Linked DNA regions of Mus musculus. The protein of the gene in region 2 interacts with the protein of the main gene of each other region in a pairwise test. Links are inferred from orthologs where the notes say so. Each region holds a gene or a part of one and is shown on either strand. Other genes may lie near its edges.

Region 1 (2,994 bases), on a different chromosome or scaffold from region 2:
AGCCTCCTAGCTGATCTCCCTGTGAAGGCCCACAAAGGCAAGCAGCCTCGCAGAGTGGGGCCTGACCTCTCACGCAGAATCTGTATCTTCTTGACAACCACCAACCCTGACCTCCTGCTGGACCTGAGCTCTTGACCTGTGCCATCCTGGGGTCACCTCCTGCCCATCAGTACAACAGGACAAGTCTGCCTAAGAATCTAATTATTCTGAGAGGCAGGCAAGGAGGTTTGGGTCCAGCCCATACCTTTTCAGACTGTGGTAGATAGACTCTGTTGCCTGATGGTCAAATGGAAATACCATGGGAGGTGGGTGAGAGGGTAAGGGAAGCTGAGGTGAATGGAAGAGTGGAGGGTAGTGGCCACTTGGTGCAGGAGGCTTAGTAGTAGGCCTGAGTGCTGAGTTGTACTATTACATCCTCAGAGAGAGGTGCTCAGAGATCCAAGCCAAGCTCTCTCAAAGCCGCTGGACAGAGACAGATAAACAATAGACACAGGCAGCTTGGGCATTTGTGAAGGCTCTTTTAATGATATAACATAGAGGGACAAGACAAAACCCCTTCACAGGGCACCCACTGCCATCTCTGCAGCAGGAGCTGACAACATGCAGTGCAAGTCAGGAAAGCCCCACGGCCCCGTGGGTGGGGACAGCCCATCTTCTCCCCGGGATATGAATGCACTCCCCTTCGTCGGCCAGCCTCCCGGGCTTGGAATCTAGGTTCACAGGTGCCTAGCTGCAGTTCCCAAGACACGTGGCAACTCAAAGGACAAATAGGAGTACGGCTTCCCTACCAGCACAGGCAGTAGAATGACCTTCACTCCATGGTCACCGGAGAAGACTGTCCTGGCCTCAGGGAGATAGGGAAAAGCCTGGACCTCAGTTCTTCCCTCTCCTGCTGCCCTGGAAGGGCGAGAAAGAGGAAGGTATCTGCGTTCCCAGGGGAGAAGTCAGCTTCTTCGGCAGCGCTTCCTCTGACAGGGCCTGGTCTCCAGACTCTCGGCACCAGGTGTAGCTGTGCCAGGAGGGGGCACAGGGGATTTCCAGTGGTTGCAGTTCATGCTCAGAACCCAGCCCAGCTTGTTATGCAGCACTTGCTTGAGGCCAGGTGGCAAGGGCAGGCCCTCGAGGGTGTCCCCTGAATTTGGCCGCAGTTGGCGCAAGCGGTAGCAGCACAGGTACTGCAGGGATGTGGAGCTGGCGCAGGAGCGGATGACTTTCATGCTGCTCTTGGCAGCCGTGGAGCAAACCATCGGGTAGAACCTTCTGTTTTGAAGCCGAGTAGCAGCCACTCCTGGGAGGAAGGCTTAGCCTGAGTGCCATGTGGGTTGGGAGCCAGGAAGCTCCTCCTACAAGGCACCACGGTAAGCAGCTCAAATAGTCTGAACACAGAAAATACTCTGGTCTGGCCTGGTAACCCCAATCTGCTTCAGGCCTGCCCACCCTCCCTCATCTGTCAGGAGCCTCAAGTCAGACTGCCTGGCCCCACCCCTAAAGGCTCTACAAAGGTACCTCACCTATGCACTTCCTGTTCTTGAAGAATGTCAGTGTCCCATGCCAGGTGTCCAAGTGCACACCAATAATGGAGCCCTGGCCAAAGCGTGAAGAGAAGCTCGTCTTGTCACCTTTGTGGTGGAGGAGCCCTGCGAGGAGCAATGGGGTGATCCTGGGAGGTCTGCTGTACTGCCAGCCCCACCCATGACCCAGGCAACACCTACCAGTGTAGGAGAGCCCCCAGCTGTCCTCATCCCTGCCCAGCAGGCTGCAGAACGTGTGGTGGTACTTGTCCAGGTCTACATCCGACGTCCCAATGCCCACCATCTGTAAATAGTGGGCCTGGACAGTTAGATGCCTAGCGGCAGGGCCCATGGCATCTACCCTCTTGCTTGGCCATTTACCATGTCTGTGCCATACACTGGAGAGGTCATCTTGATTTCCCAGAAGTGTTGGCCATCCCCTAGCTCCTTGGTGCCCCGAATGGCTGCAGTGCCACAGCTATACTCCATGTGAAAGCTGACCTTGCGATTATCACAGCTCAGCAAGGTGGCTGAGGACTTGTTCAGGTCATCCCAGACCCAATCAAAATCTGTAAGACAGAGGGCCTAAACTAGGGAGGGCTACAGCTAAACGGTGCCTGCCTGGTCCCAGGGAACCTGCCCAGCCCTCCACACGTCCCAGCGGCAAGACACGTACCCTCATCCTCCTCACCACACCGGCAGTCCTTGCCACGGTGTGCTGTGTGCAGACTGTTGCAGAAGGTAGCCTCATTCTGGCCCTCGCAGTCACAGAAGGACTCTCCTGTCACAGGCACAGCACTGGGGATGGATGGTGGCAGGGAGGAGTACTCAGGGTCAGAGTCGGAGTCGCTGTGCTGGAAGGGAGGGAAGGGGTAGGTCACTCTGTTTATGACAAATCCCTTCTCAAATCCACCAGAGAAGCAGCCAGACACCTGGCGCTCTCCAGTGCTCAACATAATCAACCTGAGTGCTAAGACTCCAATGAGATGGGAGGTGGCCCTAGGGGAATGGCTTCTTACTTGGCTTCCTCTGCCCCATTTCCCCCCAGAAGGTCTGACTACCATAGGCCACACAGCATCCACTACCTGTCTTCCCTGGGTAGTTCATGGTCTCCTAAAGCCCAGGGCTGCTGCTGTCAACAAGGTCTAGCATCTGGCTCCACTCAGGCTAAGACATGGGATGTGTGTCTCCATCCCCTGCAAGGGCACTGGAATCAAGAGGAGCAAGCATGCTCCACAAGGTCTAATGGACTAATGCTCCAAGCTGCAGCAAACTCTTCCAAAGATGCTCTCAGGCCTCAGAACCTAGCTGGGGGTGAGGACACAGCTGAGCTGGTCAAGTTCCAGCCACTGACTGACCAATCAACTCTTGCTATTCAGCTGCTCTGCAGGCCCTTGGATCCCTGTTTTGGTGCTAGGGTTCAGGCTAGCTGACTTGACAGTCCCTGAAGTTTTGGCCTCTACTTCCTGAGCTGCCCTGCTGT
Region 2 (3,520 bases):
GGTCAAGACTATCACTATTTTACAGGTATGAAAGCTGAGAGGAGGGGCTGGTGAGATGGCTCAGCGGTTAAGAGCACTAACTGCTCTTCCGGAGGTCCTGAGTTCTCAGCAACCACATGGTGGCTCACAACCATGTGTAATGAGAAACCGTTTGTTTCTCAAAAACAACAACAACAACAAGAAAGCTGAGAGGACTGACTGACGTCATCTCTGGAGTCCACCTGCCCTTCCCGGTGGTCTGATCTGTCTTTTTCTGCTTCCCCGCTTCTCCTTTTCTATTCTCTGCTATTCTGTCTCCCTCAAGGATGTCTCCCTCTCTGTGCCTTTCTCCAGCTGCGACTAGTGACGCTAGACTTGGCTTGGCTCACTTTATCCTTTCCGAATCTTTCCAATTCCTTCTAACCCCTCAGCCTGGGTTCTCTCCACCCTGGGACTGTTCCTTGCCCTCTGCAAAACCTTGGGACGCTACACTTCAAACTGCAGGCTCTTCAAGGGCAGGTTACCTTCCCTCCCACAAATACACACTGCCTGCCTTCAAACCAGAGCCTCACCACAGCGATAGCTGGGATACCTCAGCTACTCTGGGGGCTTCTATTCCATCTTCCAGCATGAGGTAACAGGCCTGGCCTGGTGCCATGGCAGCACCCTGGGACAGGCTGGAAACAGGAAATGACCTTCTTTCCCACCTCAGTGCTGTGTTACTTCAAAAGTCCCCTGCCCTCTCTGGGCTGGTGTCCCTGGGCTACCTCCCCCAGGGCTTCCTGAAAGATCAGTGCAGGCAGAACTGAGTTCAGTGTGTGCGCCAGCCTCTGCTGCCAGGCTAGGTGCGCTAATCATGAAAGATGGTGTCACTGGCTGGGAGTCAGCTGGTAGCACAATGAGTGTGAGAGTCAGTAAGGCTGACAGGCCGACCTCATGGTAAACTCCCCTCTGCCTGTGGGAACGGTGAAGGGCTTTCTCCAGCGCTGCTGGGTCTGTCCCTGGAAATCAGAACCGTTTTGCATACAGTTCCCATCGTAAACAATCCTGGCATCTGACAACAATCTTCATGCCTTTTGGAAGTTATTTAATCTTTATTTTTATTTTATGTGTGGGTGTTTTGCCTGTGCACCATGTGTGTGTGGTGTCTTGGGAGGCCAGAAAAGGGTATTGGATACCCTGGAACAGGACATAGAGATACTTGTGAGCCATTATGTGTGTGCTGAAAATCGAACCTAGGTCCAAGGGATAGAGGCTACAACAAGAACCTATTTTTTGTTTGTTTTTGAGACAGGGTCTCACTAGGTAGGCCTGGCTGTCCTGGAACTCACTCTGTAGATCGGGCTGGCCTTGAACTCACAGAGTTCCACCTGCCTCTGCCTCTGAGTGCTGGGGTTAAGGGTTTGGGACAGCACATCATCTGCTTCACTGACTTCCTGACTTAGACAACAGAATGTGTTATGGTAAGCGTCGCGTCCCCTCCACCCTCCACCCCCTCCCCCATCTGTAGAATACTAAGAATATTGAGATTTGCTCTGCAAACCTTACCAACCCTGGCCACTGGCGCCCTAAACACTCACTCCTCAGCGGGGATCCCTAGATGCACATGTGCGCCCCCTGTTGGCCCGCAGCACCCACCTTTCTTCTTGTCCCCTGCCTCGCGCTCCGCAGGCCGCCCGCCCCCCGACAGGCGGAAGGAGCCCTCACGGGCAAAGCTGGTGCGACTGGCGTCGAAGGCGGCGGTGACTCCGCATTCCTTCTCCCGTCGCTGCTTCCTCTCCAGGCAGGCGGCGAACGCGCAGCCCACAGCATGGCTCAGCCTCTCACCCTGCAGGAGAGGTGGCCTGGTTAGAAATGTTGCCCGGACATGAACGGAGGAGAGATGTGCGCCCCCTGCAGGTTGGATGTCTACAGCAAGGGGACTCCCTAAAGGCAGCGGCACATGGATCTCTTTGAGTTTGAGGCCAGCCTGGTCTACCGAGCTAGTTCCAGAAGAGCCTGGGCTACATAGTGAGACCTTGTCTCAACAAACAAAACAAAACAAAACAAAACAAAAGCCAAACCAAAAAAATGAAAAAGAAGAAAGAAACAAAACAAAACAAAACAAAACTAAGGTGTAAAGTGATAAGACTCTTAGCTGACCCTTAGTTTCTACAAGCATTTGTACACACACACACACACACACACACACACACACACACACACACACCACAAAATATAACCACATAGGTACAATGTACCTATTCTGGGAATAAAAAACACTGCTAAAGGGGCTGGTGAGATGGCTCAGTGGGTAAAAGCACCCGACTGCTCTTCCGAAGGTCCAGAGTTCAAATCCCAGCAACCACATGGTGGCTTACAACCATCCGTAATGAGATCTGATGCCCTCTTCTGGAGTGTCTGAAGACAGCTACAGTGTACTTATATATAATAAAAATAAATAAATCTTTAAAAGAAAAACACTGCTAAAAAGAAACCAAAAACTGACTACTGAAAGATACCTTGTGTTCCTAGACCAGAAGATTTAATTAGTGTAAGACACTAACATTCCCCAGAGTGACTTGCAATTAGTAAAATCTCTGTCAAAACCCAGTGCTGTCTTTGTAGAAAAGGAAAGGCCAATTTCCATGGAAAGGCCAAATTCCATGGAAATTCACATAGAATTCTGTTTGTTTTATTTGAGATAGAGTTTCTTTGTGTAGCTTTTGCTGCCCTGGAACTATGAAGACCAGGCTGGCCTTGAACTCAGAGAGATCCAACTCTTCTACTCCCAAGTGCTGGGACTAGAGGTGTGCACCACCAGAAATCTACCTGTCATATGGAATTCTGAAGGAGGTAAAATGGCAGTGCCAATCTTGAAAATAAACTGTCAGGCATGGTGCATGCCTTTAATCCCAGCACTTGGGAGCCAGAGATAGGTGGATCTCTGTGAGTTTCAGGCCAACCTGTTCTATGTAAAGAGACCTTGTCTAAACCAACAAGCAAACACAAAACAAAACCCAAAATCTATCCACATATAAAATCTATCTATATCTACATTTATATATTTCTCTCTCTCTCTCTCTCTCTCTCTCTCTCTCTCTCTATATATATATATATATATATATATATATATAAAAGGCATAGTCCCAAGTCTCCCACCTTGAACCATGCTCTGCCTCACTGTACAATTAAAATGCGCTAATTTTATGTGTTTGGCTTTTTAAATAATTAAAAAATTAAGCTGAAGAAGTTCTAAGAACTTAATTATTAATATTTTCTAAATCTGCTGGACCTGGTGCTTTATGCCCAGCATTTGTTCAAGGCTATCTTCAGCTACGTAGGGCATTTGAGGCCAGCCTGGGCTACATGAGACTCTCTTTAAAACTCAGCTTCTTGCTGAGCCCCACCAACGTGACGTTCAGGTGTTTCATGGAGGGTACCGAGCGGCCTATGGGCCTTTGGGTCCCATCCTGGAAAGCTGGTCGCAACTGTAGATGCTATTGATCAGAAGAGGGTGTTAGTGGACGGACCCTGCACTCAGTGTCCTCATTTCAAATGC

The links. The genes of interacting proteins can lie anywhere in the genome.
Region 1: the proteins of Numbl (region 2) and Spsb3 interact in binary tests that used the Homo sapiens proteins (3 or more experiments, as listed by UniProt). The two-hybrid records come from large-scale screens. The link is inferred for Mus musculus from reciprocal best matches to the Homo sapiens genes NUMBL and SPSB3.

Annotation. Positions count from the first base shown.
Region 1 is NC_000083.6:24,889,654-24,892,647, reverse strand, and holds the end of Spsb3 (SPRY domain-containing SOCS box protein 3), read right to left. Parts: intron 2,366-2,994; coding exon 2,188-2,365; intron 2,081-2,187; coding exon 1,893-2,080; intron 1,816-1,892; coding exon 1,713-1,815; coding exon of another isoform or gene 1,638-1,712; coding exon 1,512-1,637; intron 1,344-1,511; coding exon of another isoform or gene 1,289-1,343; coding exon 945-1,288; 3' UTR 501-944; downstream 1-500. Other genes in the region: probable crossover junction endonuclease EME2, read left to right, coding at 1-135.
Region 2 is NC_000073.6:27,272,242-27,275,761, reverse strand, and holds part of Numbl (numb-like protein), read right to left. Parts: exon of another isoform or gene 3,351-3,520; intron 1,808-3,350; coding exon 1,618-1,807; intron 1-1,617. UniProt on the Homo sapiens protein: Plays a role in the process of neurogenesis. Required throughout embryonic neurogenesis to maintain neural progenitor cells, also called radial glial cells (RGCs), by allowing their daughter cells to choose progenitor over neuronal cell fate.